Coturnix japonica: one gene and its partner. Each later gene encodes a partner of the first gene's protein in a complex. Links are inferred from orthologs where the notes say so. Each region holds a gene or a part of one and is shown in the gene's direction. Other genes may lie near its edges.

Region 1 (10,570 bases):
GGCAACCATATTTGGCATTGCAATGAACAGTTAATAGAGGGAAGAAGGAAATGGAGTTCACTGAGTCTCTTTTAAATGCTTGAATTAATCAAATAGATATCCTTGTTATAACAAGGATATGTAAAGCATGAGATGGATTTCGGCCAAGTACCTTCTAGCTTACCCTGTGTAATGTTAAGATAATGATTTCACCTCTGAAAAGCACAAATGGCTGAAGTAATAGTGGTTAGATGCTTTAAAACATGGAAAATATGCTGATGAAGTACTTTGTGCTTATCTTCAAACCTTTCAGGATCAAATTCTCCAATGCCGGTAGACTTGTCCTTGTAGCACTGCAGCTGTAAGTTACGATGCTCCTCTCTAGCAGTTAAATAATTCCTTTCCAAGGCATCAAGGTGTGTTTTCAATTGATTTAGAACCTTCAACAATAAGTTCAACAGTAAATGATGTTACTGTTAGTAAGACATACTAATATCTACTTTTGCTATGTGAGACAGATGTATCGGCAGTGATATTAGTAAGAATTTTGCTGCAGCTCTCAATTTTATCTATAGCTATCCAGCATGCTGTGATGCTTGGTTATTTAGAAGTAAAATACTCAATCACGCTTCAGATGTACCACCCTACTATCATAGATAGTGATTTCTATGCCAACTTAAGGCCTTTCACTAAGTACTTCCCAACTGTAATCTTTAAATTTAAGAAATGAGCCTCTTACTGAGCTCCTCCATTTTTGCTTCTTAAACTCAGTTTAAATCTGAGACTCAGATCAAGATTATTTTTAAAGGTCTGTCTGAGAAAAGCACTGAGTACCCTGCCAGGAAAACTGAAGTCTGTTAGCCAGCTGAAGTACACTTCTGATAACTGAACAGGTGGTAATTTACCAGATAATCTTCTTGTAAGAGAGATGTCTCTCTGGTCATGTGTTTAGAGAAGTCTTCCACCTGTAAGAGAAAACACCAGACTTATATATTGTTTGTTAAAAACAAACGCGCCATACTACTGTAAAACTTAAGAATCAATGTGAAATAGATACTGAAACAGAGCTCTTTACTTTCGTTTTTAGTTGATCTGTCTGATCCTTTAGTATTTGAGACATCTTCTCTCCTTGTGTTGTTTCGGGCAGTAAATTAGAAGCATTTAAACAGCGTATTTCTACTGTGCGAGTTGCTGGAAGTGCTGATGTTGTTGTCCCACACGGCAGTCCTACAAAATGCAAGAGAAAATGTGTTAGTTAGACTGCTTGCCAAAACCTTCCACCCAAAAGTGCTATTGGTTTACTTGAAATTAGTTTTTCACGCTTACTTGGTTCAGACAAACCATGTGCAGGCTGTAGAAGGACACAGGTGTTTGCTGTAGAGTCCTCAGGGGCTCCTGAGTAAATGGCAAATCCTGCATTTGGAAAACCCGACTGAGGAAGTATCTGTCAAAGTGAGAATCTTGGTTAGAGAAAAATCACACAGAATGCTCTGGACAATACCAAGTTTAGAAATGTGTAGGACAGCTTTCTGAAGTTAATGGGAAGTTTGTTATAACCGCACCATACAATTTGCTTTGATTTTGGTTTGCGTAGTATCTCATTGTGCATGTACTGAAATATGCAACTCAGGGTTCTGAAAATCTGAATTTAAAAACTTGTGTAAATGGGAAGTATATTATAAAGGTGAGAAAATAGTTCAGAGCCTTGGAAATAAGAAAATGAAATGAGAGTCTTCTTGGGAGGACTTCTGTATCTGATGACTGTATCTCAGGAGATCAGTAGGATTCTTGATGGCAGCGTGCTGCATTCACATCTAAATATACCATCAAGAAGTAATAGGGAAAAGTATTAGAAGTTGTTCCATCCTGAACAGGTTATGAAGGGATAAGCCCAGGAAAGGACTTAAGCATCTGTATAGCTCTGTGAGTGAACTCAGTGGCAGGGCATGGCATTAAGAAGTGCTTATCTAATTACCACAAATCTTAACAGGAAGTTACTACTGTAAGAGAAATCTTAAAATTTGATGTAAGACAAATCTCCTTATGGAGCAAAACCTTCAGAAATAAAGTGACCTGTCAGGGGATGCTGGGCTGAACAGCTGGAGAGTGTTTGTATTCTTCAATGTAAGAACAGGCAGGGGATTAAAAATGTTTCAAGAATAAATTCCCATTTACACTACTTCCAGTGAATGACAACGTTTCTGTATAACAGTGGAAATAACTGCTTAGAGTGAACTTCCTAATGATTTGCCAGGATGATTTGCCATCAGAAACAGCACAGCAGAGCACTGTTAATTGGTAATGAAAGCTCCATGGGGATTCTGCCTCACAGAAGTTTGTCCACGTGCCTATTGATAGTGGTACGCTTGCCCTGCTGATGGCTGTTGAGTGCCTGCATGAACCAGGCACAGTGAGAGGTGACCTAACACAGAATACCTTTTTATTATAAGCACTGCTCTTTACTTTTGTGTTAAGACTTCGCTAAATTCTTAAAGCATCTTAATTACCTTTCGCTGCTGGGATGGTTCTGGAATGCTCATTTCTTCCTGATTTTCTAGGACGTTGTTGCCAGTTACTGATTGATTTAGCAGTCTGGGGAAGGGTTTTGTTCTTTTAATGGTGGGAACTGATTTCTTATTCTCACTCATTTCTGGTACTTTCATTTCTGAAGTGACTTCATTATGGCCTTCCTGACGACTCTGAACTTCACCTTGGTCTTCTATGAGCTCATGAGAAGAAACTGATTTCTTAAGCATGCGTCTCTGTTCTGTGTTTTGAAAGATATTCACTGCTTTGAGCCTTTGTAAGTGGTGTTCTTCAAACTTGGCTGCCTCTTGTTCACCCGTTGAAGGGCCTTTGACACGTTCAGAAGTCTCATGTTTGTTTGTGGCTTCGTCAATACTTTCAGTCAGGGATGTTTCTGGTATAGTCTCACGTTCAATAAACTGCCATGTGCTCATCAACTCTCCCATAGGAAAATGACGCAGAAGGACATGGGACATGTTTGAGTGACTCGGAGGGTCTGTGCCATCTGGTTGGCTACCACCAGCTGGTAATGCCTGTGTGAAGGACACTTCACTTCCAGCTATTCCAGCTTTACTTCTGACTGTCCTGATGGTACCTGTGTTACAGTCAAAGGCACCTTCATCTTGTACATGAATGTCATCATTTGCTGATGCGTTTCTGTTATCTCCAGAGCAGGGTAAGTTTAAAGAATCAGAAATACACACGATACAAGTGCAGCCATTCAATTGATCTGACTTGCTGTGATATTTGCAGGCTATTCCCCCATCTCCATCACAAGGTAAATCATCTTGTTCTGCGTCCGTTGTGTCTGTGATGTAGCTTAATTCATTTGAAACTGAACAGCTCATTGGGGCTTCCACCCATGGGCTGGGTGCACTGAGATGGTGTCTGTGCTGCTATGGAGACCAAGAGGGACAGGTGCCAAAAGTGCTGTGAAAGGAGAATGGAGTGCAGTGCAGGTAAGCGTGGGTTATTCTTTCATAGTCCTCCTGCTGATAGGAGACCAGGGTGCTAATGGAAGGTAACGAAACTTGCGCTATAGCAGCTCTGCGAGAAGAAAACGCACTCACCGCCCCGGCCCGCTGCTCCCCGTTATTCGGCTTATTCCTCATCCCCCAGCAGCTCACGCTCGGTGCATTCTGGCAGCAGAGCGCTGCGCTGTGCCGGGAGCTGCGGCAGAGCTGGATCCCTTCGTACCAGCGGGCAGCGGCAGCAGACAGATAGAACCTCACAGCTCCCTGCTCCCGAGCTGCGTCTGCTGCTCCCACCCGCGCCGTGCGGTGCCACCTGCCGCTCCGGCTGCGGGGCTCAGCCTGTGCCCGCCCCGTCCTGCCGTGCCGTGACTCCCATTGGCCGCTGTGAATGATGCCGCCTTCCGCCGCCGCCGGCCGCAGCGCCTGCGTGCAAGGCCCGGAGCCGTTGTCCGCCCCGCCTCGGGGCCGCGCGGGGATTGGCGGGTTCGAAGCGCGGCTGCGCCTGGGCGGCACCGCCAGGAACTGCTCGGCGGTCGCTCTGGAAACTGCCGGCGGCACCGGGCCCGGAACGGCGGCACCAGGTGAGGAGCTCCGGGACCAGGTGAGGAGCTCCGGGACCAGGTGAGGTGCCCAACAGCCGGCGGAGCTGGGAGCCGCGTCCCGGAGCACAAACGGCGCGGTCTCCGTCACGCCGCGCTTGCAGGTGTCTGCGCTGAGCACGCTGAGATGCGGAGCGCGGCGTGCAGCCGGTGTGCGCTGCGCTGCTCCGGATCTGGGCTGCAGGTCGCGGTGTGCCGCAGTCCCGGTGCCGCGATGCTGCTCCCTGCCGGCCGGGCGCTGCGGTTCCTGCCGGCTTGGCGCGGGGCTGACGGGCCGGGCAGGGCCGGGCTGCGCCTCCCGTGTAAATGCCGGCTTTGTTGGAGCTGGAAACACGAGCAGAGTTGTCATCCTTGTAACGCGGTCTTTGTGAAGCCTTTGTACATACGTTGCCGTGATTTCGAAGCGCTCTGTTGGCTCGTGGCAGCGTTCTGCTGCGCTGCTTCCATCCGTGGTTCCATAGACACAGGCGGTTCTACAGCCCTCAGGACAAATGGACTTTATGCCTTCAGTTACTTCCCTGCAAAGCTTACACGAAACCTGTCTGAAACTTGAGCCATCACCATTGGGCCAGAAGACGCTTGTGCCGGCCTTGCCGTAATGCTCTTGTTTGAGAGCTGCTTGCTGTTGGCTGTTGCTATTGTCCTGTTTTCTCTTGCTGGAGAAATACAGCACAACTTCATGCTTGGAAGGTCAAAGTATTGTTTTACAGATGCTGATGGAGATCTCAGCACTTTCTTTACATCCCGTCTCTGTCACTTGGCTTACACTGCTGTTTCCTTCTGTCCTTTTCTTTCTTTCTTTCTTTCGCTTTCTGAATTATTTAAAGGCCGTGGCACATCGGATCGTGCACAACAGCAGCACTGCACTAACACAGCAGGTGTTTCTTCTGGGGCATTGTAAAGGAGATCAATGCGATTTGAAACTGAGCTCTGTCTCTTTGTCAGGGTGGAAATCTCTCCCTAGTTTGCTAGGGCTAGTTTTGCTGTCTGTTTTCCTCACTTCTTGCCACCAAATGGCAGCAGAACTGATCTTAGAGCCTGGTCAGAGATGAACCTGGTACGGCTGTTACCAGTCCATGGAAGGAGAGAGCAGAAAGGCATCAGATGAAGGAAGGAACTGTTTGCTTTCATGTAGGCACTCAGTGGGAAGTCAGCCATGCAAATGATTGCATCAAAAATAGAAGGCTGTGTTGTTAGAGATCACAGCGTCAGGAGTGTGAAGTGTCGGAAGAGCAGAAGTAGGAAACCTGGTGAGAGCTGGTCTGAGATGGTGTGACGTTGAGCAGATGGTTAATGGCAAGTTGCCTCTTAGTGCTTCACAAGTGTTCCTGTTCAGATAAGGGAACTTGTGTAAACCCTTATTAATAAGAAGGGGAAGCTTTTGTGCCGCTGAGTTATGGAGGAAAAACATGATGTGATGTACAACGGGGCCTCTCCAAATCTTTTAATTTCTTAGCTCATTTTCTACCATTGTCCTGCTGTTACGCTGCTCACAATTCTGTTCCAGCCTGGCTGTGGCTGGGCAGTGTGCAGGATTGATGCATTGATGTGTTACAGTGGTTGGGTACAGCTGTGGCAGAAGAGTCAGGTCTTAGTAACACATCTCAGGTTTTGCTGTTCTTCAAGGCGCAGAGAAGATGCTACTCCAGCATTTTGCATCAAAAATCTCATTGCATGTAGAATTAGTTCCTTGTTGCCTGACTAGTTTTATTATAAGGATATTAGTTACGTTATACTGCTGGCACTTTGTCTTCCTTTCGCATGTTGCCATGGTGGGGGCTTGCCTTACTGCAGGGTTTAGATGGCTGCTGTACATGACCTACTTGTGGTGTCCTTAGAGTTACAGTGTCCTTGTATGTCCTTGTATGTCCTTGTGTTGGCTCCTTGCACGCTGGTCAGGTATTTAGGTGTTTCCAGAGAAATATTCTTTCATGATGGGATATTCTGTTCTGAGAGATGTTCTGTGAGAGGTGCTGAGAGCAGTGCCACCTCTGCATTGCTGGGCTTTGCTGTTTCTTATGCCAAGGTATCAGTGCAGTATGTGCAGTACACATGCATTGGCTGCTGCTCTGTGTTCCCATATCTGCTGTTATATGTGCTATATGTGCTACATGTGCTGATGGTTCTGTTTGTTTTTGCCAGCAGCGTGTTCTCAGCCTGTAAGTTACTGTCCAGCCTGCATCATTACAAGATGCCTGAACCATTTCGCTTTACAAACCTGTATTACTGCAGTGCCTAATAGGGCACTTCCTTACTTACTGTGGTTAATAGTTGGTGTGGAACCATGATGGTACTCTGACCAACACACCAGCAATGACTAGATGGTGGTTTCTCTCCCTCATGTATTGCATTGTTGTTCAAAGTGCCTGGCATTTCTTTCTGCTCTTAATGAGTGACCTGTTAAAAGGAATGCATATGTATTTCAGTCTGATTGTTGTGTTAGGCCAAAAAGGGCTGTAAGTGTAGGGAGAGTAAAGAGGGTTTGTCGTACATGAGAGGGCCTGGAAGAGCTAATCTTCCTCTACCTTGGCTTGGAACGCACCATGTGGCGAGGTCAGTTGTGTTTAGGTAACCAAAGAATGTGTAAAAATGAGATCAAGCCTGTTTAGAAATAGGGCAGTAAATTAAGCGTCTCCACTGTGACCATGTTTGTCATAATGCAGCAGTGTGCTGGCAGTTAGATAATCCACGTTGGACTCTGCTCTGGAGCTGTGTCCATGCTTTCATTTTCAGCTGGGGTCGCAGTGTGATCCTCGCTTTGCTGTGAACAAGCTTTGTCTCAGACGTGCTTGATGCCTCTTGGTTTTTGGTTGGTTTTTAGTGTCTTGAGAGTTAGGAGGACCTTCTTGCTAGGATCTTTTTTAAGCTTATTAAAAAATAAAATTGTGCACTAGTATAATTAATTATTCTTTAGTCTCGTAAAGCAATTGTAGATTTTTATGCAGAATTTGTTATTAATTTTTCCTTCTGTTATTTAATGTTTTCAGTAAAGCAGATTTCCAGTCCTGATTCAGGCTGTCCTGGGCGTCCTGCCTCTCAGTTATCTCTGGGGCTTCCTCCCTCAGCCATGCTGAGTTAAGGACGTGCACAAAAACCCTTTTTATCCTTTTCAGTAAATGTAGCACTAGGAACAGGCTGGGGGCAGGAGTGAAGAGTTGGGTCAGTTGGATCATTCAACACGAAGGTACTTGTGAGTGTCACAGCTCCTGCTGTTTTTTGTTTACTGTTTGACAAACTGCTTTTGTTACCTGTGTGGAAGTACTGCTGGTGATGCTGAAGCAATTAAGTCTTGGGCATTAATTGGCTAACGAGAGAGATGAAATAATTTTATAGATCGAGGAGTCAAGGTTCCAAGTTTCCCTGTTGTAATCCTGTTCTTTTGGCTCATACAAGGTGGTTACCCGTGGGTCAGTCAGTTCTAGCAATGAAACACTTCGCTAGCATTCTTTTGATTCTTCTGACGAGGAGCAGATGATTTCCTATGCAAAAAATAGCTTTGGGAACAGGAGAGGAAGCTTTGTGTGCTGCTTTCTGTTGGCATGCTGTAAGTGAGATCCTGGTGTTGTGCAGAGTGCGTTGGTAGGGTTCCTGTTTTGTTGAATGGGTGTCACGTGTGGCCCAAAGCTGATATAGTGCCCCGTTTCCACCTGCTTTGGGACTTTCTGCAGTAATCAGTGATGTGGCTTAGTTTCATGTGGTCTGATATTTGTCAGTCAACATGGCAGATAGATCTGGGGTGGAGGAGGAAGCATCTTGATCAAGCACATTAGATGCTGGTATTAATGTATTTACTTACTGCTTGTCTGGTAGTCTGATAGCATAGGCTGGGTCTTCCCCATGCACTATGTAATGACAAGCTGTGCAGAGTCTGCTCTACCAGGCATGCTCCTAGTTACAAAGCCCCATGGTCCCGCTCTGCCCTCTGGGTGCAGCCCACCTGTGTCTGACGGGCTGTGCTCAGTGATACACTGGAACGCTGCTTGTGTCGGGTCCTTGGTCCTTCATCTGGAGCCTTGTGGTTCATTCCGAGGGTATCTGCTCTGTGTGTAAAGCCATCTGGAGGAAAGGTGATATCTCAGAGCTGGAATTGCTCCATATTTGCTGTTGACCGTGAATAAAACCTCAGAGTCACTTTGTCAGTACGGGGGGTTCTGTGTGGTGCCAGCTGATCAGCTGTTGAACTTGTGTTGTGCCAAAGTCTGGAGAAAACAGCTGCTTCCCAGCATGTCACACTGCTGTGTTAAGGACTGTTCAGAGGGGAATGGTTATTACTACACAAATGCTATTGGCTGTGCTTCCTCGTTAATAGGTGAATTTAAGAAATATCCCTGGACACCATTAAAGACTAAAATTGTGGTTTGTCTGGTTCCAGTTGTGGTTCAGTACCTCTGGACTCACTGCTGGCATTTATATTTGGATTTACACTTTCGAGGTCTGGAGTCAAACTAACCTCTGTATTTCAGTAAGAGAAACATTGCTGTATTTTTTTGTTCCTTGCTCTGTCTTTGTCTTCACATGGTACACAAAGCTCTGCTTTGTTTTCAGGTTATCCACTGCAAGATTCTTTTCCTGTTCTTTCACTTACGCTGTAGCTGCTCCCTGAAAGGAAATTCAGACTTAGTTCAGCATTGGAAAATTCTCCGTGATCTTGAAACAGCCACTCTCTATAGCTGATTTTTGTGAGGAAATAGAATGCATGTGGTTGGTCTGCCTCGATTTGTACTTTCACCATGTCAATTCTGAATCTCCCAGCCTTTGATGACATCATTTGGCAGATGCTTCTGTAGCTCTGTGAAAAATAACAGATGGGCAGAGGAGGCCTTGGTTTGTTGCCTCCTTTAGGCAAGGCAGGACAAGCTGGGCTGGGTGCGTTCCGGTAGCCAGCCCACAGTGACTGGTCGGAATGTGGCTGCCAGGCAGCCCTGTGGCTGCTGATGAGCACAGTAATGAGTGTAGATCATCAGTCATCGGACAGCAAAAAAGGAAATATGGTCATGGGAGATGATGAGAGGAGGGAAGGAGCCAAAGATGCTGCTGGGATCTTCTGATTTAAGGAGGTAGTGTCTGCAAGAGTGTTCATGGTTGTCTACCTCCTTAATTTGTAATTAATCACTGATTAATGTGCCTCTAGTTGGATGTGGGCCAGCTCGATGTGTCCACGTCAGCCACCTAAGGCAGCCATGTGCCATGCAGTCGGCAGGAGGGAGGCACAGGGCTTCCAGCAGCAGGGAGGTGGCACCCACTGGAGATGGCATAGAGGATGGACATGGAGCCCAGTTAAATGAAATAGTTGAAATGTGATGCAAAGCATATTAGTAACTTCTGGTTCCCTTGTAGTGCTGAGCACCAGGACTGCTCTGAGGCGATGAGTGCAGGCAGGGCAACTTGCAGCTGGCTGCTTGCGGGAGTTGCCTGACTTGAGTTTGTGCAAACCTGTGCAGAGCAAAGACCTGTCACGTCATCTTCCCAGTGTGTGGGTTACAGTGGTATTTAAAAATGTATGTATCATGCTTTGTAATTGCTAAAGTATACCCACACCCACTTGTTGATGCCAAGTAACTCCGGTGCTGAGCATGGAAGGGCAAAGTAGTTGTTTGACTGGAAGAACACTGTGAATGGTCTGTTTGAAAGACGCTGTCAGAGAGGAGGGTGGTGAGAAGCATGAATATTTGTACTGGTGACTGATGAAACAGATGAGGAGACATTGCCTTCCTTGACAATTAACAATATAGAGATGGGTGAGTTCTGGTGACAACTTTAAGTCTGAGTTCTGTTCTTGTTTTGTGACATCTCTGCAAGCTCTTGATGAAATATGCATTTGTGAATTACACAAGTGTATGTTTACTTGCAAAGGAAGGTAATATTAGTGCTAAGCAATAAATACGTCAACTCCTCTACTAAAAATATATTTAAAAGTGGGTAAGCTTCTGAATAGTTTCTTTTTGGCAAATTGTTTTCCCTGCCAGCCTAAACAAGTCTAACTTGTGAGCACTGGCTGCTGCAGTGCCTTTGAAGTGGAGCTCATACGGCAGCACTGCGGCACTTTGGAATGTGTAACCATGTAAAAAAATAAAAAGGCAAAACAAAAATATCCCTTTCTTTTGGGGAGAGGAAGGGAAAGGGAGTAGAGCTTAAACCTCTGCTGGCTTCTGTGCTCCTGCTGTTCAGAAGGGTGGTTTCCAGAATGGGCCTTTGCAAGTGGGATGGTGTCAGCCAGTTCTGGCAGCTGTTCACATGTAAAGCAGTTTGGAATTGGTTTTAGGTTACACCTTTTATTTTGTACCTTTCATCCTTTATGCTTTTTGCATGGAACTTTATGAGGCCAAAAAATACTAACAGGGATAAATGACTTGAATTTTCCAACAGAGCAGAGCGTTGTTTTTTGTTAAGCTTTCTTGCTTGCTTACGGGAATTGCTGTGTATATATGAATGTTTTGGCTCTGGCTTTACATTCTTGATTGACATTTCCTGCTTGGTCGGGGCAGTGTTATG
Region 2 (8,652 bases), on another chromosome or scaffold:
TGCAGTTGGTCCAAAACAGCCTAAGGTATCTTGTAGGTGTAAGGTTAAAAAAGTAAATTGGAAAGGGAATTTTAAAAGGTACTCCGGAAATTTACATTTCTTTTAAGCAATCCTGAAGCTGAATCTACTTCGGGACCAGGGACAAATAATTAGAGTAAGTGGAGAAGAGGGTAGCTGGAAGCAATCCATGGCTCTTTAAGTGATGCTGCCAGCTCATTCCATGCAGCTGCTGCTTTTTCAGTTTAGTAGCTGAGTCAGATATTTGTTTAGATTTGTTTTTTGCTCTACAGTTGGACTCCAAGCTCTGCTTCATCAGTTCAGATGAAGATCATCTCACTGTAAAGTAGAGATTAAGCCCCTCACCGTATCTCTGTCTCTCTTTGCTGCAGGTGTAATAGAAAAAAGAGAAGCGAGGTCAACCAGATGTAGATATAGTCAGTAAGGCTGCCCAGTGGTGATGCTTCTGTAGCTCATTCATGGCCATGGTTTTACTACTTGAAGGACATTCCAGCTATGGTAAGTCAGTATACAAAGCAGACCTTGTAGGTATAACTTCTAGAAGATATAAGCCAGTTTAGAGGGAAAAGTTCTAGTGTTTAAGTGGGTAAGGAAAGGATGCAGATGGGATGGCTTCTCCTTAGCTTAGAAATGTTATGCTGAGACAGTTCGGTACTTTTTGTCTGTGTACTTCTGAAGTAGCTTAGATTTACCACATCTGTATTTACTGGAACTGCAAGATGAAGCCCTGTTCTGCAAGACCCCACTTGGGTCATGTGTGGAAGACCCAATTTTGCAGTCAGGAAGCATTTTTTCTCTGGATTTCGCATATTTTTGTCATTTTTTCTTTGCACAAAGCATGGATAATGTGCTGTGGTCACCTGATCGTCACAACAGTGCTTTCCATGTCATTGTAGAGCCTTGGAACACAGGTGGTAGCTGGTTTTTGTTCTTTACTATGGCACCCAGCTTAATCTGCTCCGAAATAAGATGCCAGGATGAATACATGTAAGCCAATGATACATATTCAGTAAGAAGCCAGGCACAGTTCCTTGTCTCCTTCTGGCCTTAAAACATTGATGCTCAAGCAGTTTATTGTTTCAGTTTACAGCTGAGACACATCTGAGGCTCCTTCACATGTAGTTTCCAACCCTATAAATTGCAGAGCCATCAGGAGTTTGTCGATTGCTTTGATTGACTTTCTGAAAATCCAGAAGAAATTGCTTCAATTTATTTTTTTTTTAATGCTGTTCTTGATAACATTACCTACAACTGTCAACTCTCAAAGATACCCCAAACAAAGAAAAGACCCACAGAACCAAACAGCAACAATATGCACCCTCCTAGTCCCTGAACCCAATTTAATCTGTGTGCAAGTAAAGTCTTTGTGATGGGGACTTTGCAAGGAAAGGTAAAGAAGGAAGAAATTTCTGAGAAATAACTGTCTGAGGGTAATTTCTTGAAGACTGTCTTCCCATCACTGTAGATTCTGGGGGGAGTTTATTTTGCAGAATTGATAGGGTTTTTTGTTTGTTTGTTTGTTTTAAGAGTACAAATACAGACAAGCATGATGTGAGCCTAAGGCAGGTCCTGATTTCCACCTGGTCTTCTCCCTGAGCTGATGGGAGGTAGAAAGGCACCATCTTGTGGCCAGTGAACAAGCACAGTGAGGAGCTGCAGGAGCCCTCTCCTCTGAAATACACACATGCTTCTGCTTTTGTCTTTGTGGTGAGTGCAGCTCCCAGTGGGACACAGGCCAGGTGAGCAGGGGTGGCCTTGGGCTGGTGCCATGAAGCAGCCTGCTTGCTCACCTCCCAGAGCCCTGTGGGAAAGGGGACAGCAGTAGGGTGTTGTAGGCTCCCAGGGTATCATGGGTCCCCAGGGCCACTGTGCAGGGCTGTGGCTCCACACAGGGTGTCGGGGAGGTGTGGGTGAGCTGCTACAGGGTCTGGATGAGAGGTATGTGAGGTCCAAATGATGACAGAAGCTCCAACATCAATATATCTCCTGATGGACCTTTTCAGCTGCCAAAATGGCTGCAGGAGCTATAGCTGTTCAGCCATGTGCTCTTTGCCAAGTGGCAGATGTCTTCCTGTTCCTAGATCCAGCTGAGATTTTGGTTCATGATCATGCACCAGGACATAGCTGCGCGCACTAATAGAGCATCATTTTGAAAGAACCCAAGTGAATTTACTGTGGCTCTTTCCATATATTTAGATCTATTTTTCCTCCTCTTAGTGGAATTCATCTTCCTGAAAGCTTTCATCATCTGCAGTGTGAGAAGGGAGAACAGCTAATGCTATTGCTTCCAACACCAAGCACTGCCAAAAGCAACTGTTAGTAAGCAGTAGTAAATTTTGGTATCTACTGTCTAAACCAGCACTACCATGTATAATTAGCAGATTGAACATCCTTCCAAGGTGGGTAGTTTAGCTATGCTAGAGAATTTGGGCCTTGCATTTGTCTGTATTGAACAGTGTCAGAGCTATCTCAGAACACCTGAGCACTTCAAGCATTTCAAGCTTGTTTTCACATATGTTGAGCACTGGCAATTGTGGTCCAAGTTGGTTTTGCTCGTTACTTGTGACAATTAATTGAACCCTTCCCATCTGCTGGGTGGGGTCTACATGGCACATAAATTTTCTTCCTCTTTACTGTTCTAATAGACACCACATCCTTCCTTTAGTCTGCACAGAACTGACCTTTACTTAGGATGTTCCTTTTCAAATTCTCTTTTGCAGAAAACGCCCACAGATCCTAGTACTTTTTTTTTTTTTTTTTTTCCAGCAAGTATTAATTTCAGTTTCTAAATTTTGCCAAACTTTGCAGTACATTTTCCAGGATCTTTCAATCCATCCTTAGAGTTATAAAATGGCTTGCAACAATTCTCCTTTCTTTTCTTGGCTTTTATCACAATTGTTGTTTTGCACCAATTACCTCTTTGGCTGGGGCCGAACTGTGATCCCAGCTAACTCATTAGTGTCACCTCCAGAAAGGCAAATGTTGTCTTTAAATATCTGAATGTGTACCTTTGGGCAAGCGTTTTTCCTCTGTATCTGAGAAAATACTCTTAGATCCCACACAGTGTTTTGTTACAAAGATGTTGGCTGCCCACCAAAGAAGATTACACTTGTAGTAGTCTGCCTTTTCTATTTACTTCTGTTGTGTCACAATTCTTCTTTTCAATGGCTTTTCCTAATAGTATCTTGTCACATTAGCATATGAAGCAATTTGGCATTGCATTCACCTATTCAGTCTTCTCCAAGGAGACTAAATGACAGGGGAGTGTGGCTGTCTGGAGGTGATGATCACTTATGGTGGAGTCATGGGCACAACATTCTTGAGTAGCTGCCAGCAAGGTTGTCTTGGGTGACTGCTCCCAGGATTACAATCTGAGTGCTTGAGAAGCCAGGATGTCTCCTCCTCCTCCTCCTTCCCTCCAAGGACCTCGACTGCCTCCACCTCAGTAGAGCCCACTGACCTCTATTCACTGCACAATTATCTGCCCTAAGTGTGGCTTTGCTGAGCTCATACATCATGATTTCAAGCAGCCTTTTTGTTATTGTTTGTTTTTTTTTTTTTCTTTTTAAAAACCCAGTCATTTGCTTAATTTTTGTTCGCTGTCTTTCAGGCCACTTCTGCTCCATAGAAGAATGTTCACCTTATGGCTATTTATACACTCTAGCATCTTCATAGCTTTGCAAACAATCTGGAACTCCAAATCAACAATATGGACAGCATTAATTTGCCCATTACTCTGCTGACATGCTTGAAAGGCTGTTATAGGTCTCCACTGTCATAGAGGGAGCCAATTATTCTAATTAGCATGTCCCTAAATAGTTACATAGATAGTTTGTAATTCCATTTTTAGCTCATGATATAACCATGTTTTTGGATTGAACGAACATCATAGTTATTAGTGGGTAGAACTGGCCTGCTTTTACAAATGAATCCCAAGCAAGCACATCACAGTGTTGGTGTAATGACTTTTCTCTGTAAATACTGGCATTTAATCTATGGAAAAGTCCCAGTGGCTTTTTAGCACTTTGTAAGTCCTCCAAGACACTTCTGAGTAAGTTTCTAAGCAAGGTTTGTACTCTTAGTTAACACAGATCATTTCCTCCAAAGCTGGAAAGTTCTTCCATATCATTTTATAGTTAAATATACTAAGTGTTAAATCAGTTATAAAAATAAGTATTGAATTATGTTCCTAATATAATGCAAGCAGAGAATCAAATGGAAAACAGAAACAGATCTCAATGCTGGAGTTGAAGAGATAAAATGAAAACCATCCACTTACGGAATTGACTTCTGAAAGATGATGGAATAGCACCTTAAAATAACAGCACTGAGACCTGTAGCATGGGTAACTAAAGCCCCTCACGCTGCACCCTATCTCTTGGAAACACAAGTAGCTGGAGGGGCCCACCCACAGAAAGAGCAGCCTAGGCAGCCACAAGGGTACCAAGACCTTTCTCATACCAGTATCCCTCCTCTTTTAAAGTTTTATTATCTGAGTGTTCCCTATGTTTGCCAAAAATATGTTTTACGTGTGCCACTGTAATGATACAGCAGGTGGGATCTGAAGTAGAGCCCCTCTAAACTGTGCAAAGAAAACTCCTTTCTCCTGGAGGCTGCAGGATCTCTATCTATGGACATCAGCCTTTTTTTTATGCACACATTCCCCCCTCCCATGTTTTAATCTCCTCTAATCAGAAATCCAGCCTCTCATTTTGTGCACTTGGTGCTTTTTGCTGCATACAATTTGATGATCTTATTTAACTTATTGTAATTAGGTCACATCATACATGTCTCACAGTTCACTTCTTCCTCCAGATAGGAATACCCATTTCCTATAATTTAAGTGACATTTCCCAACTGATAACAGTATTCACAGATGACCCCAAATTGATGAGAATATTCTCTGCATCTCTAAGGCCCACACACGCTGCCAGGGAAGCATAAAGCACCTGTAATGTCTATGAGAATTCACACTAACATTTTCATGTTTTTGCTTCAGCCTCGGGTAAAAAATATATCTGGCAAGAAGAGAGGGGAAGGCTTCCCACTTTCTGTTTTAGTAAGTTTTTATTAACTGTGTGGAAATTCTAACTATAAATATGCTCAAGAAAGGGAGAGGCTTGTAAATGCAACTTCCAGATGCTAGAGGGCGTAGGAGACACAGAAAGTCTCCGGAGTAGCAGTTAAAAGAGGTTCGGGTGAGATATTTGCAGCAACATTCGGTTCTTGAAAAGGATGCTTGCTAATGTTCATGCTGATTCTGCTGTCTTTCTGAAGAGAACAAGCCAGAAAGCAGAAGTAGCTTTCTAGATTTTTGTTAGTTTTGCAGATAGTCTAAAAAAACCCAACAATTATTTATAGGGCTATTGGTCTAAATGAAGATATTAATACATGCTCCCAATTTTTATTTTTACTTTTACCAGAGCAGTTTAGTAATGAGGGTATGTTCTGAAAGAGCTCCTATCATTAGCCATCAAAACAGAGAGCTACTACTGACATTTAATGAAAAAGGTGAAAGGTAAATTCCTGGGCATAGCGGTATTTTCAGTGAGGAGAAGAACTAAAGGCTTCAGACTTGTCTGTCTGGTTTAGTCAAAATATTCAGTAATGTTTCTTCATCTCTACACAGAATTTCTGTGCTAGTGAAAATCCTGCTGTGTTTGGTGTTGCAGTCTACAAACCTACTAGTATAATACCTGCGTGAGGGGGGTTCTGGTAGATGCTGTGCAGAACAGACCAAGATTTTTTCTGTTAGCATCTTGACAGAGTTCACAGGGCTTACCCTAAATGTGTCAGAGGACAGGGCCACCATAGTTGCTCCTTAGAAAACCTCTACAAATAGCAGAATGTTTTGTTATCAGTTCAAAGTAATGCAGCAAGAGACCTGAGCTTCCCAAACCTGTAAAGGAGAGAAGATGTACATATTGATAAGTTTATGTTGGGTTTCTCTAGTCAGTTGATGCCCCTCAAACCAAATGTATTGTCAGTTCATAGGACTCCAATATTAAAGGGAAGGATTCCCTTCAGCCACTGTGGACTCCTTCTTTTTCTCCAGATTTTATGCTCGAGGCCAGGTATAGATGCTGAATGACAGAAAGATATTCTAGTAAACAAAACAGGACAGGTGGAGTAATGAAACTCTACTGAATTATTCATCGGGTCCTGAATGATGCAGAGAGAATTATTACAGTGAACAATCACCCCCGATGAGAGGAGCAGTGCAAGGAACAGCCCTGCAGTACAACTGACTTGTCTTCCCCAGGTAGGCGTCTGCAGAGTGAATACCTTGTATAAATGAACTGGAACAGCCATACTTGGTAGCTGTCCTTTGCTTGTCTAGAAATGATCAATATAATTCCAAAATCAGTTTAGCTTGTGCTACTGAGCCACAGACATCAAACTAAAAGCACATTCAAGTGCTTTGCTAAAAAGCAATTGAGTTCTTTGCATATTTATAGAGAAGCATACCTTCAGGATTGCTGGCTCAAACCTGATGATGCCTTCTAATAAATGTCACAGGTAAGGAAAGGAACAAAAAAATACATCCAAGAACCAGTGCATTCCAATGAGTAATTTTGACCTCTGAAGCATTTTCCCAGCTTGCCTTTGGAAGTTGAGAAATTGTACAACCTCATCACAATGGTAGGTATCTGGAGGTACAGTACTTCTACTGCTGTTAAGGTTTTTAATAATTATTAGTAGTGTACTAATGTACAGGGTAGGGAAGTTAAAGAAGGGTGCCCAGCACAGGCAGAGCAGCTGGGGTAGACAAGGTTATGATGGTAAGGTCAGCCATATCAATAAAACTAAACTCACCTTGGAAGCAGTGGGGAGAGAGCTGTGCTCTCATTTCATATTTGTTCTGGGCCTGGATGTGGTGGTGATGAGTGCTATAAGGTTAAAGATCAAAACAGAGGGAGAGAGCACAGGCTTTGAGAAATACACAATACAGTGAGGGAGAAGGAGTCATAAAACAATGTTCCTTGTGTGCCACTTGTACTGGGTATTCAATATGGCAGACAATAGAAGTGGGTAAGTTGGGGTAGCATTTGAATTGTGCAATAACAAGACAGGGGAAAACTTGAGTGTTCCAGCTTCCCTGCACATGACTTTGTATCTTAAGGGATGTTGTGGGTTTTTGTTATTTTTTTTCACATCGCATTAATATTAAATACAAGTATATAGTAACATCCAGATTAATTCAACCTGACTGGAATTCCATTTTAGATGCCTGGCTTCCTTCTGATGGTTGTTACTGCTGAGAGCTGTCATACTACATGAAATTCCCTGAGAACAAGGTACAGATGTCACTGCCATAAAATGCCCCAAAAAGTTAGATTTATTAACCTTTCGTGCTTTTAAAAATATTATTTACATTTTTTTCCCCATATTTTTAAATGGAAAGAAAACTTATTAGGAAGCCTTGTAACCCTATATGAAAATTTAATAAAATAATCTGATACTCTGGCATAAGAAGCTAAAAGGCTATTTGCTTTGCAACTGGATACTAAGCACATGGCCATCAGAGAAAGCGACTCTTTCCTTTAAAGCATTTTTCTTCCTGGTAATAATTTCCAGAAAGACTGATAGATGGTTAGTCCTAAAAATGCAGGGTTTAGTTTAGTACACTAGCATTAACTTCATGTGGTAGAAGACTGCTGTCTTTGCATTTTCTGCAGCAGATGTGCACACCACCTTTGATGTCTCCTTTTGATGAGACTATTGCTAGGCAGAGTCGTGGGAAATTTCTAGTGTTGTTTCCTTGGAATGTATGTGTTTGTGGATTGCCACTGCCACAGACCTCCTCCTTGAACGCAGATATCTGCAGTACCCGGGTTTGGCATCTTATTCTGTGAATTCAACTCCTAAAAGATCATTTCTAAGGAGCTTCACTGAGAGCAGTGATGGAAAACTATTTATTCTAAATAGTTACTTACTCGTGACTTCTTCTGCCCAACAGGCTTGCTATTTTTGACTTGATTTTCTGTCTCATCTATGTCTAAATGGCTGAAATAGGATGATTACTTACTGCTTCTCTGAACTTTTGACACTTGCTGGCAGTTTTCTGTGTGTTATTCCCTATCCAGCAGATGTTTCTGCACATGAGCAGCCCAGCCATTCAGCTTATTTTATTTGGATGACAAAGCCTTAATTTTGTCTTCTGGTGGAAGGCTTTTGAGAGTGGAGACAGCCTGTTTTTTTGGGTGTGTGTGGAAGGACTCCAGTGGTTTCGGCATTCTTGCATGATTGGACCCATGATATCCAAGTGCTGCATTATCATGGACCTCACTAGAGGCTGTGTGACTCTTTTAGCATTTCTCCAGCCTGCTTTGGGTGCACTGTGTTCTCAGAAGGCCGTGACTCGAGTTCATGGAAGTCCCATGTGAGCAGCCTTTGAGGTTACTGACATTCTTGAGCCTGGGCTTGAAAAATGCTGCCTTGTGTTTTAAGCTCAAATTCAAATCTATTCTTCCCAGTGAGATATATATGAAGAATATTATACTCTGCTTAAGTCTGGCTGGTGGTATTTCCAAAAAAAAAAACAAACAAAAAACCAACCAACAAAAAAACACAACAACAACAACAAAAAAGTAAACACAAAAACCAACCCCCCAAACTGACTATCCTGTTAAA

Evidence for each region. The genes of interacting proteins can lie anywhere in the genome.
Region 2: the proteins of GPSM2 (region 1) and INSC are in contact, whole or in part, in a crystal structure (PDB 3RO3), measured with the Mus musculus proteins. The link is inferred for Coturnix japonica from reciprocal best matches to the Homo sapiens genes GPSM2 and INSC. Residues at the interface, in NP_083798.2 of Mus musculus: Asn210, Tyr213, Leu214, Phe218, Arg242, Ser246, Asn247, Asn250, Ile253, Phe254, Tyr265, Gln283, Tyr286, Ser287, Asn290, Thr291, Thr293, Leu294, Arg323, Trp326, Ser327, Asn330; in XP_006507722.1 of Mus musculus: Val72, Asp73, Ser74, Val75, Arg77, Trp78, Met79, Asp81, Leu82, Lys83, Leu84, Met85, Thr86, Glu87.

Annotation. Positions count from the first base shown.
Region 1 is NC_029523.1:1,217,752-1,228,321, forward strand, and holds the start of GPSM2 (G-protein-signaling modulator 2), read left to right. Parts: upstream 1-3,855; 5' UTR 3,856-3,867; coding exon 3,868-4,100; intron 4,101-4,316; exon of another isoform or gene 4,317-8,540; intron 8,541-10,570. Other genes in the region: protein AKNAD1, read right to left, coding at 286-419, 885-944, 1,055-1,206, 1,306-1,423, 2,487-3,401, 3,576-3,617. UniProt on the Homo sapiens protein: Plays an important role in mitotic spindle pole organization via its interaction with NUMA1. Required for cortical dynein-dynactin complex recruitment during metaphase. Plays a role in metaphase spindle orientation.
Region 2 is NC_029520.1:14,709,979-14,718,630, forward strand, and holds the start of INSC (protein inscuteable homolog), read left to right. Parts: upstream 1-1,929; 5' UTR 1,930-5,077; exon of another isoform or gene 5,078-6,280; intron 6,281-6,307; exon of another isoform or gene 6,308-6,537; 5' UTR 6,538-6,660; intron 6,661-7,245; 5' UTR 7,246-7,316; intron 7,317-8,652. UniProt on the Homo sapiens protein: May function as an adapter linking the Par3 complex to the GPSM1/GPSM2 complex. Involved in spindle orientation during mitosis. May regulate cell proliferation and differentiation in the developing nervous system.